4 linked regions of the Callithrix jacchus genome follow. The protein of the gene in region 4 interacts with the protein of the main gene of each other region in a pairwise test. Links are inferred from orthologs where the notes say so. Each region holds a gene or a part of one and is shown on either strand. Other genes may lie near its edges.

What was found.
Region 1: the proteins of CDCA7L (region 4) and CARD9 interact in binary tests that used the Homo sapiens proteins (3 or more experiments, as listed by UniProt). The link is inferred for Callithrix jacchus from reciprocal best matches to the Homo sapiens genes CDCA7L and CARD9.
Region 2: the proteins of CDCA7L (region 4) and CTNNBL1 interact in binary tests that used the Homo sapiens proteins (3 or more experiments, as listed by UniProt). The link is inferred for Callithrix jacchus from reciprocal best matches to the Homo sapiens genes CDCA7L and CTNNBL1.
Region 3: the proteins of CDCA7L (region 4) and ZGPAT interact in binary tests that used the Homo sapiens proteins (3 or more experiments, as listed by UniProt). The two-hybrid records come from large-scale screens. The link is inferred for Callithrix jacchus from reciprocal best matches to the Homo sapiens genes CDCA7L and ZGPAT.

The regions. Positions count from the first base shown.
Region 1 is NC_133502.1:184,840,596-184,844,724, forward strand, and holds part of CARD9 (caspase recruitment domain-containing protein 9), read right to left. Parts: intron 3,977-4,129; coding exon 3,851-3,976; intron 1,692-3,850; coding exon 1,500-1,691; intron 1,112-1,499; coding exon 1,070-1,111; intron 733-1,069; coding exon 684-732; intron 1-683. UniProt on the Homo sapiens protein: Adapter protein that plays a key role in innate immune response against fungi by forming signaling complexes downstream of C-type lectin receptors.
Region 2 is NC_133506.1:33,129,908-33,134,846, reverse strand, and holds the start of CTNNBL1 (beta-catenin-like protein 1), read right to left. Parts: upstream 3,130-4,939; 5' UTR 3,072-3,129; coding exon 3,042-3,071; intron 1-3,041. UniProt on the Homo sapiens protein: Component of the PRP19-CDC5L complex that forms an integral part of the spliceosome and is required for activating pre-mRNA splicing.
Region 3 is NC_133506.1:59,225,787-59,229,552, forward strand, and holds the end of ZGPAT (zinc finger CCCH-type with G patch domain-containing protein), read left to right. Parts: intron 1-11; coding exon 12-145; intron 146-383; coding exon 384-539; intron 540-1,362; coding exon 1,363-1,482; intron 1,483-1,566; coding exon 1,567-1,969; intron 1,970-2,158; coding exon 2,159-2,297; 3' UTR 2,298-2,512; downstream 2,513-3,766. UniProt on the Homo sapiens protein: Transcription repressor that specifically binds the 5'-GGAG[GA]A[GA]A-3' consensus sequence. Represses transcription by recruiting the chromatin multiprotein complex NuRD to target promoters.
Region 4 is NC_133512.1:36,239,160-36,243,643, reverse strand, and holds part of CDCA7L (cell division cycle-associated 7-like protein), read right to left. Parts: intron 3,553-4,484; coding exon 3,415-3,552; intron 391-3,414; coding exon 13-390; intron 1-12. UniProt on the Homo sapiens protein: Plays a role in transcriptional regulation as a repressor that inhibits monoamine oxidase A (MAOA) activity and gene expression by binding to the promoter.

The sequences.
Region 1 (4,129 bases), on a different chromosome or scaffold from region 4:
GAAGGCCACAGCCTGGTGCTCAAGAAGCTTGTCCGACTCCCATGCAGCCTCCCAGGGCCCCTCCCCCGGGCCCTCCCCGACCCCTGCCTGATACCACATTCAGAGCAAACACCTACCCCATAACCACGGCCCACTCTGGGCACTCAGGCTGCTCCCAGCTAGCAACCCCAGTCCTTCTCCAGACAGGCAGAGGGGTCCTGCCCCACCGCTAGAAGCCCCCGACACTGCCCCGCCCCATGGCCCCGGGACACAGCAGGCCCTTGGCCACCCCTTCATTGGGCCCTGTCCCTCAAGCCCCAGGGAGTCCCGTCTCACCCTACTTTCTTTCTCACCCCTAGCCTCGTGCACCTGGGCATTTGCTCATTGCCACCTCTCTCTGCCCAAGAGGAAGCTTGGAGCAGGCAGGACTCTGCACCGTGGGGGCTGCCCTAAGGGGCACCACACTCCCCACCACAGGGAACACTTGTCCCACCAACCAGGGCCCTGGGTTCCAACTGGACTCTGGTCTGTTCTCTGGGTGCCATGTCCATTTTACTTATCCCCCAGCCCCAGCTTCCCCATCTGTGGAGTGAGGGTGGTAGAGGCCGAGACAGGCGTGTGTCACGCACGGCTGCCTGCACTGAAGATGGGCCTCGCTTGGGGCAGCTGGGAGGCCTCCGGGTGCACAGCCATCACCTCCTCACCTTTGTCTGAGAGCTGGGTGTCCTCCTCCAGGTCCTGGGGGAGCGAGAGCTTCGGAAGAGAAGCGAGATGTCCTGTTAGGCCCCTCTGCCAGGGACTGGACCTGGCCACACTGCCCACCCCAGCTCTTGGCCATCGCTGTCACCCCCTGCACAGAGCTTCTCAGCGACTCAGGCACCCAGCCAGGAAGGTCCTGCCATGAGGGTGCCAGGAGGTGGGCACTGTCCTTACCCTTTGAGCTGTCGGAGGCCTTAGTGTGTGGCTGCTTGCTCTTCCTCCACCCAGCCTGGCCACCAAGGAGGACCATGTGACGGGAAGTGTGGGGTTATGCCTGGTGGCAGCTCAGGTGAAGGAGGGGCAGCCCTATGCTGGCTGGGGTCTCACTCACCTCCTGGGAGCTCCTAGGTGAGCCATCCTCCAGGTCGGAGCTCTGCGGTCATAGAAAATGGGGTGAGTAGGCAGGCTGTGAGGGCCTAGGGCTCCCCAGACATGGAGTGGACAGGGAACAAGAGTGGGATCCTCCGGGGGGCCCTGGGCATGCCCTCAGCCACAACAACCCCCTCCATGAACAGAACCACCTGCTAGGCTACCTGATGGCCAGGCCCAGGCCCCACCCCAGCCCTGCAGCCCACTTCCTACTGGGGCCCCAATCTGCCCCTCTGCCCTCACCCCCCTTCGAGGAGGGGCTCCGTTAGGTTGGGGCCCATCACAGAGGAGGATTGGGTAAGGAAGGCCAGGGCCAGGGTATCCTGAGGCTCCATGCTCCCCGAGCCCTGTACCCCCTCAGCTCCCCTCCCTGCCCCATGCACCAGGCCCACCAGGACGAGCATCTCCAGCTGCTGCCGCCTGAGCCTGCCCTCCACGGCCAGGAGCTGCGCCTCACGCTGGAACAGCTGCAGCTGCAGCTCATCAGCCTTCTCGCCCAGCTCCCGCACGTGCTTGCGCAGCACGTCCTTCTCCTGAAGGCCCCGGGCGTGCAGGGTGTGCAGCTCCTCCCGTGTGGCGATGGCCTGACAGGACAGTGCAAGACCAACCCTCAGTGAGGCCCCAAGCTCACCCTGGGTCCTTAGCCTGACCACCCAACTCCCAGCACAGGCCCCGAGGACATCCAGCCGCTGGCTGCAGTGGCCAGCCCCAGTCCCTCCCTTTTTGTGCTCTGCGGACATGAAGCCAGCATTTGAGGGATTGTAAAGGTGACACTTAAAACAATATAAGGAAGGCTCACCCTCAGAATAGGCCCTGCAGCCCTCCTCTGTCTCCTCCCATGCCTGCACCCCCGGTGGACACAGCGTGTGCTATGCACCCCTACACATGCACACGGGATGAATTTTGGATGCAGCTTGATATGGAGAACCTGACCCTCCATAGCTAAAACTCCTTCATGAACGCAGCATGCTTTACCATCCCTGTCCCTGCCGCAGACGCTGAGGCACAGGAGCAAACATGCAGACAGAAGACGGCCTGACCACCCACGCAGCAGAGGCTGAGAGGGCCTCACCTAACGCCTGCCCACTCAGCTTCCCTAATCCCTGCCCACTCCCCCTCCCTGCACAGCCCCAAGGGAGGTCCTGTCTCGGGAGCAGCCCCAACCCCCACGCAGCACAGCTGAACCTGCCCTTTCTTCTCCAACTTGGGGTGGGCTAGGTGTGAGTGAGGCTGTGGTGGGGCCCCTACAGGAGCTCCAAGCCTGAGCTTCTCTCTCGGGGGCAGGGGCTTCCTTTATGGCCCCAGGGGTCTCGTTTTAAGGCTCCTGATTCAGGCAAACCACAGTCCAGCATTCGCTGAAGCAGCAATGGTGTCCATCAGAAACAACCTCAGAATGGGACTTGGGACGGGACCTGGGAAGCAGACACAGCCCTGTCCTTGCTGCCGCCTCAGCCTCTCAAATATCTGGGGCCACAGGCGTGGGCCACCATGTCAAATTTTTTTTTTTTTTTTAGATGGAGCCTCACTCTGTCACCCAGGCTGGAGTGCAGTGGCACGATCTCAGCTCACTGCAACCACCGCCTCCTGGATTCAAGTGATTCTCCTGCCTCAGTCTTTTGAGTAGCTGGGATTACAGGTGCCCACCAATATGCCTGGCTAATTTTTGTATTTTTAGTAGAGAAAGCGTTTCACCATGCTGGCCAGGCTGGTCTCAAACTCCTGACCTCAAGTGATCTACCCACCTCGCCCTTCCAGACTGTTGGGATTACAGGGTTGAGCCACCCCATCCAGCCAAGATTGTTTTTCAAGATTAAAAAAAGCTACTGGTAAGACAAATTAAAAGTAAAAAAAAAAAAAAAAAAAGCTACTGGTAAAACAAGACAGAAGGCTTCCATTTTCATAAAACAAAAGCAAAAAAAAAAAAAAAAAGGTTCTTTCCTATGATCCATGTTAAAGGGGAAAAAAAGAAAGAAAGAGGGAGGAAGGGAGGAAGGGAAGAAAGCAAAAAAGAGGCCGGGCGTGGTGGCTCAAGCCTGTAATCCCAGCACTTTGGGAGGCTGAGACGGGTGGATCACGAGGTCAAGAGATCGAGACCATCCTGGTTAACATGGTGAAACCCCGTCTCTACTAAAAATACAAAAATTAGCTGGGCATGGTGTGGCGTGCCTGTAATCCCAGCTACTCAGGAGGCTGAGGCAGGAGAATTGCCTGAACCCAGAAGGCAGAGGTTGCGGCGAGCCAAGATTGCGCCATTGCACTCCAGCCTGGGTGACAAGAGCGAAACTCTGGCTCAAAAAAGAAAAAAAAAAAGAAAGCAGAAAAGAAAAAAGAAAGAGAAAGGAAGGAAGAAGATGGCAGGGAGGGGAAGGGGGGGAGGGGAGGGGAATATCTGTTAAGATGGAGCGGGATGGTAGAAGTTTCCCCTGACAGCAGGCTGGGATGAGGGAGTATTGACTTCATCAGTTTACTTTTTTTTTAGTGTTAGATATTCCTTCTGTTACTTAAAAAACAGGTCAGTGTGTTGGCTTAACCTGCAATCCCAGCGCTTTGGGAAGCTGAGGCCAGAGGATTTGCTTGAGGCCAGTAGTTTGAGGCCAGCCTGGGTGACATAGCGAGACCCCATCTCAAAAATAACAAAATAAAGATTAAAAACCCTCTGACAACTGCCCTCAAGGCCTGTGGCCCTGGTGCACCCACCTCGAATGGGGCACTCTGTTCCCCAGCCCCCACCGTGAGCACCCACCTGGTCCCGCTCGACAGCGACCTCCTCCATCTGCAACAGGATGGCCTCGATGCGGTCCTTGTACACCTTGCAGTCCTTGCGCAGGGCCCGACACTGCAGCTCCAACATCTCCTTCTCCTCCACGAACTGCAGGGGGTAGCAGCTCAGCCCCCAAGGCCTGAGGCTCCCCATTCTGACCAGTTGGGGGGTGCTCCAGCTAGGAGCTCAGGAACATGGGTCAGGTCAGTCGGGATGTTGGGGGAGGCCATAGGAGCCCCCAGGCCCCTATTACCCCGCCCT
Region 2 (4,939 bases), on a different chromosome or scaffold from region 4:
TACAGGAGTGCTGTCCAACAAAAACACAAAAAAAAGCCACAAGCAAAACACCTATCTAACTTTACATTTTCTAGTAGCCACATTTTAAAAGTTTTTTTAAAAGGTAACATTAATTTTAATAATATATTTTCTTTAATCCAATATATCCTAAGTGTTGACATTTATTCAATGTGTAATCAGCATAAAAGGTAAGATATTTTACATTATTTTCATACTAAATCTTTGAAATCCAGTGTGTATTTTACACATGCAGCAGATCTAAGTTAGAAACGAGTCACATTTTTAAGTGTTCAATAATCACACGTGCCTAAAGGCTACTATACCAAGCAGTGCAATTTTATATCATACTCTACTATATTCCCTCCTAGCACTTACCACAATCTGAACGTCTTGTTTACTTAGTATCTTGTAACTTCCCACCAGATGCTCCACAAAAGCAAGAATCTTGCCTTTTATTCAGTGTTATATACCCAGTGGATAGACTGCCTTGCACACAGTAGGTGTTCAATATATATTTGTTGAGCAACATAGTAGGTGTTAAGCAAATGAATTTTTTTCTTTTTTGAGACGGAGTCTTGCTCTGTCACCAGGCTGGAGTGCAGTGGCCTAATCTCAGCTCACTGCAATCTCCACCTCCTGGCTTCAAGTGAGATTCCCCTGCCTCAGCCTTCCGAGTAGCTGGGACTACAGGTGTGGACCACCACACCCAGCTAATTTTGTATATTTTAGTAAACACGGGGTTTCACCACATCGGCCAGGATGGTCTTGATCACCTGACCTCATGATCCACCCACCTTGGTCTCCTAAAGTCCTGGGATTACAGGCGTGAGCCACCAAGCCCAGCCTTTTCTAGCTTTAATGGGCTAGCCCTTCTAGAAATTCCAAGCAAGCATACAATCACTCATTCAACAACATGCCTAATTCCCTTTGTCTTTCACTATCAATTAAACTGTCTTTAAAAGAAAATTCTCTTGGCTCTACAGCTCTCCATTGCTTAATTGTTCTTTCCCATGATGTCTTAAGTGTCCGGGGTCAATTTCTCGTATGTTGGCTGAGGGAGTGGTGGGAAAATAACTGCTTATATTTACTGAATGTTTACTTTTTGGCAAGCATTGCCTAAGCACTTTACATTTCTCAACAGCTTCACAACAGCCCTGTGAGGCAGCTACTGTCATTTCCCCCCATTTAAGATGAGGAAACCAAGGCATAGAGAAGTTAAGTATTTTGTTCAAATTTATAGCAGCCAGTTAGTAGCAAACCAGAGACTGCCAGCAACCTAGGGGTCCAGACTCATGGCTCTTAATCACCTATTCGTGACTGCAGAGCTGTCCAACAAAAATGTAAGCTGAACTACCTACGTGATTTTGAATTTTCTAGTAAACACATTAACACGTCAAGGGGAGCAGTTAAAATTGGTTTGAAGGCCGGGCATGGTGGCTCGCGCCTGTAATCCCAGCACTTTAGGAGGCCGAGGCAAGCAGATCACCTGAGGTCAGGAGTTCAAGACCAGCCTAGCCAACATGGTGAAACCTCGTCTCTACTAAAAATACGAAACTTAGCTGGGTGTAGTGGCGCAGGCCTGCAATCCCAGCTACTCAGGAGGCTGAGGCAGGAGAAATGCCTGAACCCGGGAGGCGGGGGTTGCAGTGATTGTGCCACTGCACTAAAAAAAAAAATTGGTTTTAAGCATATTTTATTTGCTGGGTGTGGTGTGTGGTGACTCACACCTGTAATCCCAGCACTTTAGGAGGCCAAATGGGAAGATCACTTAACGCCAGGAGTTTGAGACCAGCTTGGGCAACATAGCAAGACCCTGTCTCTACAAAAAATTTAAAAATCAGCCAAACATAGTAATGCCCGCCTGCAGTCCTAGCTACTGGGAAGGATACCTTAGACCTAGGAGTTTAAGGCTACTGTGAGCAATGATTGTGCCACTGCACTCCAGCCTGGGCGACAGAGCAATATCCTGTCTCTAGATAACAATAAAATAAATTAAAAATTAAGTATATTTTATTTCACCCATTATCCAAAATATGATCATTTAATCAATATGACCAATAACCAATGTAATTAATATAATCAGTACGATCATGTAATCAATACAAAAATGTTACTTTTTCATACTAGTCTCCAACCTAAATGTAACTTTACACTTACAGTACTTCTCAATTCAGACTAGTCACATTTCAAGCATTCAACAGCCTATGTGGTAGCTACCACACTGGGCAGTGCAGCTCTATTGCCCCTCACAATGAGCCTACTGTGGAATCAAAGCGGGGGACCGGGGGGACCCTTTGGGGTGGAAGTCAAGACACCTGAGCTCAAATTCCAGCTCCTTGTTTCTGAGTGACCGGACAAATCCTTTTTGCTCTCTAGGTCCCTCACAGTTTCCCCACAAGTATCCTATGCAACGGGGGGCCCTGAGCAAGATTCCTAGAAACTCAGTTCCATTCCTAGAATTCCCAACATCTCCTCCAAATCGCAGTAAACACAAGCACAGCTTTCCACACTTTAAAACCAGCTTTCATATCCATCAGTTGGTACAGTCCTCAAACAACCCTACTAAGGCAGCTATTAGTGTCTCCACCACATAGACACAAAAACCTGTTTCAAAGAGGGGGATATGACTTGTCCAAAATCCACACAGCCAGTCAGTGGAGAAGCTGGAGCTCAAACCCAAGAGAGATCCAAGTGCGCTCCCACCATGACCACCACCATCACCTCAATGACTGGGGGGACATGAGAGCTGAGTGGACATGGCTGGGAAAACGGGATAGTCTGGGGTTTCAGAGGAGTTTCAGGGAACCAGGCCCCGGGGTGAGGAAGAGGAGGTGAGAGGCTCAGGTCTTGAGAAGGGACGAATCGAAAGGGCCCAGGAGGGCCTCGGGAGGAAAGTAAAACGAGGGGCTAGGACTCCAGGTGACTTGAGAAGTTAGGGGGCCCGGGAGCTAGGCGAAAGGAGGTGAGATGAAGGGGCTCTGGCCCCTGCGACCCTTGCCCAAGTGAGAAGGCGGTCGCTCGGCCCTCCCTGCCCCTCATACCTGGTAGCTCAGAAGTTCGCCCACGTCCATGGTACCCGACCCAGCAAATCCGGTCCCCTCCACTCACGGCCAGACCACGGGCCCGTCTGCCGCGGCTCCAGCCACACTGCCGTAAAGTGCAGCGAGCGGGGCCTCAGAGCCAATAGAGCAGAAGCGCGCGCGACAAGCGAGCAGGCCACACCGCGGTAAAAGGCCGCGCCGCCGTAAAGTGTGCTGTATTTGGAACCTGGCTGCTTCCGCCTATAACCTGAGGGGGCGGGGAAAGGGGCGGAGACTTAGAGGAGGGACTGGAGGAGAAGAGCAGAAACCGAAAGAAACCAAACTTGATTCCGCGCCCCCCGTGTCCAGAGCGGAGCGCTGGGTGCTTAGTGTGCGCTCTCCGTAGTATTTGAAGTGACTTGTCCTCATTTCACAGAAAAGGAAACTGATGCTCCCAACTGCACCATCCAATACTTTAACCCAGTAGCCACGTGTTACCGAGAGCTTGACATATGGCTACTCCAAAGTGAGATGTGCTGTAAGTGTAAATAAAATACACACCAGATTGGGTCAAATAAATATATTATAAAATGAATTTTACCTGTTTCCTTTTACTTCTTAAATGTGGTTAGTAGAAAATTTTAAATTACACATGTGGCTCTCATTTGTGGTTTCCACTAATTTCTATCAGACAGGGCTGGCTCAAAATGTGACTTGTCCCAAGGCTGTACAACTATTACTGGCTGAGAAACTGTTGGATCACATGTCCCTCTCTAGACATCTGTCTATTCATCTATGCAAAGTCTGACAGTAACTAGATGAACCTGGTGCTACCCAGGCGATATAAAAAGGTTTCTGGAGGAGAAAGTTGCCCATAATTGGAAGAGTATCATTCAAATTGTGCATCTTAATCTCCTGGGATGTAAGGCTCCATCTTCAAAGGAAATTAAACCTTTCTCCATAAGCCCTGCCCTTTATATTTATATTTATATGTTGTATTATATTTATATGCCCTTCATAGTTATAATTTTGGTCCCCATCCTAACTCCACTGTCTCCAACTATACAGAAATTATTCTTATTCCTCAAAGTGACAAATCCTCTCCCCTTCTGTCTAGCTATCAGCCCCACATCTCATCCAACTCTCTCATCTTTCCGGTCTCAAATGTCACTTTCTTAGAATGGCTTCTTCAACTCACCCTCAGTCAAAGTAAGCAAACTCTCTCCTCATTATTCTTTACTGTGTATATATCTCAATCTGTAATTTTGTGTTTAATGGTTGACTATTTGTTTCTTGACAGCCTTATTTACTAGACTGCAAGCTCCATGCAAGCAGGATGTGTGTATGTCATGTTCACTACTGTATCCTCCAAGCCTAGTACAATGCCTACTAGAGGGAGAGGTTTCATAATGGGCCTTGTGTGCCAAGGTAAAGAGATTGGATTTTGGCCAGGCGTGGCTGGGCGTGGTGGCTCACGCCTATAATCCCAGCACTTTAGGAGGCCAAGGCGGGCAGATCACTTGAGGTCAGGAGTTTGAGACCAGCCTGGCCAACGTGGTGAAACCCCATCTCTACTAAAAAATACAAAAATTAGCCAGGCATGGTTAGCCTCTAATCCTAGCTATTTGGGAAGCTGAGGCGGGAGAATCCCTTGAACCCAGGAGACAGAGGCTGTAGTGAGGTGAGATTACACCACTGTACTCCAGCCTGAGTGACAGAGCAAGACTCTATCTCAAAAAAAAAAAAAAAGAGAGAGAGAGAGATTAGATTTTATGCTAACAGCATAAGGAAAGTTTTAACAAGGTAGTTTTGTGATTTTGTTTGATCCTTATTGTTTAAAGAATCACCTATGCAATCTGCATGGAATTCAGTTTATTTGGGTGTCTTTTCCCCTCCTGCTTATATTCTACAAGAATATA
Region 3 (3,766 bases), on a different chromosome or scaffold from region 4:
TCTCTCTGCAGGTTCTCCCATGGGCAGCTGGTCTCTGTGGATGAGCTGCGCCCCTTCCAGGACCCAGACCTGAGCTCCCTGCAGGCTGGCTCTGCGTGTCTAGCCAAGCACCAGGATGGCCTCTGGCACGCAGCTCGCATCACCGGTGAGGCTGGCCGTGGAGGCCTCCCAGCAACACCCTCCCATGCGTCACATGTGTTACTACTGGGTGGCTACTCCCTGCCCCCTTTGTGTTGAGTGTCAGGACTCTGGCTCTGTGCCAGCAATGAGCACATCTGCCCTCAGCCTCTGCCCTGCCTTGTTCCCAATGTCCCGCATGGCTCCTGAGCAGTGGCACCTGCTGTTGTCAGGGATGCTGACCTGCAGTTTGTCTCTGCCCCCAGATGTGGACAGTGGCTACTACACAGTCAAGTTTGACTCGCTGCTGCTGAGGGAGGCCGTGGTTGAGGGGGACAGTGTCCTTCCCCCGCTGCGCACAGAGGCCACAGAGTCCTCCGACTCAGACAGCGATGGCACGGGCGACTCCAGCTATGCCAGAGGTATGGCAGCAGCTGAAGGGCCCAAGAGGCAGGAAGGTGGGGTCACCAACCACTGCAGAGTGTGGACTACAGCGAGGCTGCTGTGCTCAGCACAGGTGGCAGCTGTGCCTGGGGAGGCAGTGTGGGGTCAGGGTGCAGGAGCATGAGTGAAGGCCGGGGTAGATCCATTGTGACCTTTGACTTGAAGGAGTGTGAGGGTGCAACAGCTACAGCCTCACTGATGGGAGGCCGTGGCCGTGGGAGGAGGGGCCTAGAGTTCCCAAGGAAGTTACAGAAATGACCAACTGCTGGGGCCTGGAGTGCAAGAGGGACAGCTTCTTTGAAAGGCTTCTCAGACTTGGGACCTGGGTACCCGGTGGAGCCTAGCAGACAGAGGTTGTGTCTGGGCAGCTAGAGTGGAAGTTTCGGGACTGGGAACTGGTGGGCAGTGTCCAGCTCTCCAGAGTGGTCAATTAGACAGGGAGGTGTACCCAGGGATCAGTGATGTGAGTTGGTGACTTCTGAAGCCCCATGTTCCCATTGAAGGAGGAGTTGACCGAGGACTCTGAGGGCAGGTAGGAGCTCATGGCCCCGCAAAGGCGGAGAAGGGCAGGGGCAGGAGAGGGCTGTAAAGGAAGGGCCACGGTGCACCAGGCCATGGGGACTGCCACGAACTCTGCCTGGTGTCACATGCCCACAGCAGACCTCGGTGACAGAGTGCAGAGCCCAAGAGGTGGGGTGTTGGGGCTCTGCCCAGGAGCTAAGCTCATGGGCCAGAGCCCCAGTCACGATGCACAGTCCTCTGGCCTGGCCCAGCCACTGCCCTCTGTCCCATCTTTTGCAGTGGTGGGGTCAGACACTGTGGACTCCGGGACCTGCAGCTCTGCTTTTGCTGGCTGGGAGGTACACACGCGAGGCATAGGCTCCAGACTCCTCGCCAAGATGGGCTATGAGTTTGGCAAGGGTGAGTGCCCGCTTTCCTTGAGAGGTGGGGGTTGGCTGCAGCACAGCTGGGGTCCCACAGCACACAGCAATACCATCCCCTCAGGTTTGGGCCGACACGCCGAAGGCCGGGTGGAGCCCATCCACGCCGTGGTGCTGCCTCGAGGGAAGTCGCTGGACCAGTGTGCAGAGATCCTGCAGAAGCGGACCAGGGTTGGCAAGGCTGGCACCAAGCCCCCCAGATGCCGCAGAAGAGGGGCCAGGGCTGGGGGCCGCCTACCCCCGCGGAACGTGTTTGACTTCCTCAATGAAAAGCTGCAAGGCCAGGCTCCTGGGGCCCTGGAGGCTGGGGTGGCCCCCTCAGGGAGAAGGAGCAAGGATATGTACCGTGCCAGCAAGAGCACCAAGCGGGCCCTGAGCCTGCGGCTCTTCCAGACCGAGGAGAAGATCGAGCGAACCCAGCGGGACATCAGGAGCATCCAGGAGGCCCTTGCCCGCAATGCTGGCCGGTATGTGTGGGGCAGAGGGCAGCCCAGGGTGGCCATGCCTCCAGTACACGTGCGGGAGGTCACCTGACCCAGGTGTGGTGGGCGGAGTCCAGGAGGGGTCTGGATGTTGGAGGACGTGTGGTGGGCACGGCAGCCTGGGATTGGTGGCAGTGGCCCAGGAGCCACACTGACTGGTGGGCCCCTCCCCAGGCATAGCGTTGCGTCAGCCCAGCTGCAGGAGAAGCTGGCGGGAGCCCAGCGGCAGCTGGGGCAGCTCCGGGCTCAGGAAGCGGGCCTGCAGCAGGAGCAGAGGAAGGCAGACACCCACAAGAAGATGACTGAGTTCTAGAGACCCACAAGCACTATGGGGAAGGTGGACCCAGCGCGGGCTGCCCTCCGCACTGGAAAACCCATGTTGCCCAAGGAGGACTGGCCTGCTGGCCTGGGGCATGCAGACGCTGCTGAGTGGAGACAGGGCTGCAGGGCCCCATCTGGACAATTACCTGCCTGTCTGCCAGTGTCTTGGGCATTTCCTTGGCAAGGACATTAAAGAGTTTTCCATCACAGTGTCATTCAGTGGAGATCAGCTGGCTGCAGGGCCTCTGGGAAGAGAAGGGTCTGTGCGGGGCTGTGGTGAGAGGCTGACTGGGCTGCAGGGGCCTAGGAGGCCAGCGTTCTCTCTTCTCTGACCAAGGCGGATCAGAGGCCAGGTTGCCTGCCAGGCACAGATGGGCAGAGCTGCCTGACACCCACAGATGGGTGGAGCTCAGTGCTGCTCCAGCAGGCGAGGGTGGGAGGACTGTGGCCCACCATGTGGGGCTCTTGGTGAGGCAGGTGGACCTGGTCTGTGGGTTCTGTGCCAGCTCTACTCACCTCTCCATGTGTGGAGGGGTTGTGAGTTAGGCTCTCAACAGTGCAGGCTAGAGGCACACACGTTTCCTCTAGGCCTCGGGTAGGGTGCAACAGGTGGGTGAGGCTGCGGTGGTGGCTGCTGCCCAGGGTGGGAGGCTGCAGGGGAGGCGCTCGGAGACGTACAGGAAGTGATGAGATGGGGCGTTCAGCTGAAGGCTGCACAGAGACCTTCCTAGCCTACGCCAGCAGAGCTGAGGAGCTCTGGCTGTGGGTTTGGTAAGTGCTTGGGCAGGTCCCCAAGTGCCCTCCTGGGGTGCCGCTGGGGTCTGGTGGGGCTGTCCTTGGGATGTGGCTGTGGTTGGGTCAGTCAGCTGGGCTGAAGCCCACTGCCTGGGTCTGGGCAGACTGGCCTTAAACTCCAGAGACCACCCTCACCTCCCAGAAGCTCTGCCAAGCCCCAGGAAAGGCACAGATCCTTTGGCAGAGACAGTGGCAGACAAGAAGAGCCAGAGAGAAGTGGGGTGGGGGCACTCAGCAACCCCAGTAGCTGCTGCTGCCTGCTGACCCAGCCTCCAGCCCCTCCGGAGAAGCGTGCAGGTGCACACTGATGGGAGGCCGTGGCCGTGGGAGGAGGGGCCTAGAGTTGCCAAGGAAGTCACAGAAATGACCAACTGATGGGGCCTGGAGTGCAAGAGGGACAGCTTTGAATGGCTTCTCAGACTTGATCCAGCAGGGTCCCTCCTGCTGACCAGTCTCCAGCCCCACCTGGTTCTGGGCTCCAGTGGCCTGGAGGAGGCACTACTTGACACAAGAGGCTGCGTCTGGACAGGGCTGGCCACAGGTGGAGTCTGGCCTGCGGTGCACACCTAGGGCCTCCCCCTGATGCTGGGGTTTGGGCTACGTGACCACAGCTGCCCTGCCCCTCCTCACAGCCATGTGGGGTGTTAGCAGGGTCACCTGCAGGGA
Region 4 (4,484 bases):
CGCAAGCCTCACCATGGCTTTGTTCTCCTTGATGTTCATGGTCCTCTTCAGCAGAGCATCCGAACTCTCCTGGCTCTCATCCCGAGAGTCATCCTCAGACTCAGAAGTAGAATCTTCCCTTTGTATCACCTGTCTACGGCCTTTCTTTCTTCCAAGAACTGCTTTTTTCTCACTCTGTAAGCATGAGCTAGAAAACAGCTGCTCAGAAGAACTGTTTTTATCTGGTTTGTTGGCCAGCTTCTTGGTGGGGAACTGAAAGGCTACTCGAAGACCAATACTACTACCTCTTCGAGACCTGCTTCTTCTTGGGGTAGCCTTATCTTCTTCATCTTCCTCTTCCTCACTCACCAAAGATGCTTTGCCGTCGTCACTCAAATCTGACTCCACGAGCTAATAAAATAAGAGCAAGAAAAAGCACAAAGACACCGTTTCAGACAAACAAAAAAGACATGCATTTAAAACAACTCTGGTAGTATATGAGAAAAAACATGAGAAATGAAAAGATTCCCCTTCGAATTTTGAGTTTCCTCTGAATTTCTTTTAAATGTGCAAGAAATTGGTTGATGAATAAAATGAAATAATCTACAACTGAACTGTGGACCATCAAACCCAGCACAGAACTGGGTCCATTTGGAGCATCAGCTGTAAGCCAAACACGGACAGGGTGGGTTCCTCCACCATGGGAAGACCAAGGAGCACCAGCAAGAGGAGAGACAGTCACAGAAAAGGGTATTCACGACAGATGTGATCTGCAGAGAAGCAATGGTGCTAAGGGGAAAAAGTGCTGACTGGTCTCCTCAAATAGCAGGAACCAAACTTCCAAGTAAGAGGGCAGGAGAGCTGACTGCACCTCAAGGCAGTGACCCAGGACAGGCTGATGACCTGCCACTGGGTCCTCAGTCAAGGGGCACCCTTCCCTTCTCTGGAACCCTCAGAGCCATGGGGTGAAATCAAGTCAGAGAGCTACAGGTTGTAGCAACACATCACTTAGTCAACTCAAGAAATCCTCCTCTAAGTTTTCAAGTTCCACATGGTATAGGTCTCCAGCACTCAAACACTGCTCCACTTTACAAGTGAGAACTTAGTAAGTATGGAAGGCAGTAACAGGGTCACATCACCTAAGTGACATGTGATGAGACACTTAGCAGTGGTACCGAGACAGGTTTAAGTATGTGAGATCCAGGACATCTTCTAGGCATCTTTCCATGACCACAAGGTAGAAAACTTAAGAAACCGCTATCTGGGAATTCCAAAAATCTACGAAGAACATGGAATAGCAGCAGGACAGACTCAGGACTTAGTTCAGGGACTCTGCTTCCTCCCCAGTGACCACCATCACCCCCCCGCCAAATTCTAGCTGGACTAAAGTTAGAAATAAGACAGAGGGAGAAAGAAAATGCAGATGACTGCCAACTCTGGTATAGCCACACAAAGCCTAGGGAGAAATAAGACTATACAGCACTGATTTTTCTATTTCTTTAATACCCTGACCTTTCCACATTAGTAGCTTCAGAATTCAAAATAGTGTAGTGCAAAGGAACCCAATTTTAGGGGACACTGTCAGGGAAGAACTTCAGCTTTGATCCATTTATCTTCCATCCTTATCATCGACAGGCCTCTCTTTACCACAGACAGAAGTGGAACAGCTCACTACAGAGGCCTGGAGGAAGGGAAGAACAAACTGTCCACAGCAGCCCAGAATCAGACCTGAGAGTAAAGCACAGTCTAGCACGTGGATGTGGCTATGTCACATCCGGACCACAGATCCCTGGAAACCCAGGTGACAGCAATATCCCATTTAGCAAGAAAGATGGTCTCTCCAGTTCCCACAAGGGTGGGCAGGAGGTTGGGCTGGGAGGCAACCATGCTTTTCTTCTCACTGGATTCTAAAATAAAATTTGCAGGGGCCTGTGCTGAACCGTATGCCATATCATGATCTATGTAACACATCACAGTCCACAGACATGGGGGCAGGTGGGAGGGAAGACTTCTGGGGTAATTCATTTTCTCTCACTAGAAACACAAATGCTTCAAATAACCAGACATCACTTCACTAAAGAACAGAAGACAAGTAGGTCGCTAAGACATAATGCCCATTAGGGGTTTAGAAGGATCTTAATATCTTGCTGCAAGAAACTGAGGACTTTCTGGCCGGAACCAATGAACTGCCACACAAACAGCTTCTGCAAAGGAAGCCAAAGGAGAGCTGGGGCCTCCGAGCTAGCCCAATTCTATGTTGCTACTCATGGCAAAAAGTCACCATCACACGAAGCAACCTACCATGAGGGCTTTTATACTCTAAGTCCTCTCCTAGGACAGGTGAGGGACAAGGCCAGCCTAGGAGTCACAGCTTGTTTATACCTCTATACAGGCTCTGGGCCAAAAGTTAGTCCTAAGCAGCTTCTGGCTGTGAAGAAGCTTAAACTCTACGTTCCATCTTCATACTGAAGAAGAAAGTAGCATGTTTTGTTTTGTTTTTTTGCATAAATGTGTGCTATTTTTAGTTAGCATAAGTACATTTCTTTTCTTAAATCCAAAGGCTGTGCCTTAAAGTTACCTTAAGATTCAAACACAACTTGGCAGTCAACTAGCCTAACTGTGCATAATAACATGAAGAGATCAACTAATAAGTCTGCTCATAGGAAGTGCTGAGAGCAGACTTCCCTCCAGAATCCAGGCAGGTGATTTTTAACACTACAAAGCATGACAAATCCAAATCCACAGTACACGGGGAACACCAAGTTTGTACCACGCCAAATTTTTGCCACACTGACTTCAAACCAAAAACTATCACTTCACACACAGTAAGAATCTCAAGAAAACTCTGAGATAAATTCTTTTAATTTTTTTTTGAGATGGAGTCTTGCTCTTTCATGCAGGCTGGAGTGCAGTGGCGTACTCTCAGCTCACTGCAACCTCTACCTCTCAGGTTCAAGCGATTCTCCTGCCTCAGCCTCCCGTGTAGCTGGGACTACAGGTACTCGCCACCATGCCCGGCTAATTTTTGTATTTTGAGTACAGACACGCTTTCACCATATTGGTCAACCTCGTCTTGAACTCCTGACCTCAGGTGATCCACCAACCACGGCCCCCTAAAGTGCTGAAATTACAGCCATGAGCCACCGTGCATGGCTCATTTTGAGAAGGACAACAAAGGATGCCTGAGACACATCCCTAAGCCCCACAGGAACAAGGGGAACATGAATAGATTTTCTCTAAGAGAATAATGGACTGGTGGACCAGGGATTAGCCTTCTAGGAGTGTTTTTTTTTAAGGTTATGTTAATTAGTTTGAAAGATAGGTAAGAAAAAGTAAAATCTTTTCATTTGTGAAATGACTTCTTACAAGTAAAACTCTAATGCAGAAACAGGATGACAAACATCACCACCCACATCCTTCCGTTTTAATTATTACCATTACTTCTGGGTTAGTCTTTCCATTCAGATCACTCTGTGTAAATCCTGTAAAATCCTCAGTCTCTGAGTCAGTGTCCTCTATAAAAATTCTTCTTAGCTCTTCCGTGAAGTATTTGGAATGAAAGCGCATATCCTGCTAAATTAAACACACACATACATCAGAGGCAGAAAGCAGAATAGAGGTTACCAGGGAAGGGGAGAACGGGGAGCTACTGAACAGGTGCAGTTTCTGATGCAGATGACGAAAATGTTCTGAGATGGATGGTCAACAGTGTCAATATTAATGCCACTGAACAGTACCTTCAAAACAGCTGAAATGGTATATTTCATGTTATGCATACTTTACCACAATTAACAAAAAGAAAACAGTAGCCCGGTGTAGTGGCTCATGCCTGTAATCCCAGCACTTTGGGAGACCGAGGCAGGCAGATCACTTGAGCTCAGGAGTTCAAGACCAGCCTGAGCAACATAGTGAGATCTCATCTCTGCAAAAAATACAAAAATTAGCTGGGTCTATTGGCATGTACCTGTAGTCCCAGCTATTCAGGAGGCTAAGGTGGGAGGATTACCCACACCTGGGAGGTCGAGGCTACAGTGAGCAGAGATCACACCGTTGCCCTCCAGCCTGGGTTGCAGCTGAGATCATACCACTGTCACTCCAGGCTGGGTGACAGAGACCCTGTCTCAAAAAACCCATATACATACATGTATATTTTATATATATAAACATTTTCTAAAGCTTACAAAATTCAGACCTACAAATCAGACAGCTTTTAAAAATCAGCATGGGTGTAGTCTCAATCAGCTTCTAATGTAACTGGTAAGTGCTCATGGAATTCAGCTTCTGCCAAAGCTGGCAACCAGAAACGTCTGCTTTCACACAGAACCAAAACACATGGAAAGAAGACATGAGAAAACCTGGCTCCCTCCCACATGCTGGCTTCCCTTTCCAACAGCCTTTCAAAGCCAGAGTCTCCTCCAAGTGGGTGAGCATGCCTCCCCTTCACCAACAGCGAGTTTCCCTGTAGGAAAAGGCTGGGTCCTCTCCCAGCCCTCACTACCCACCAC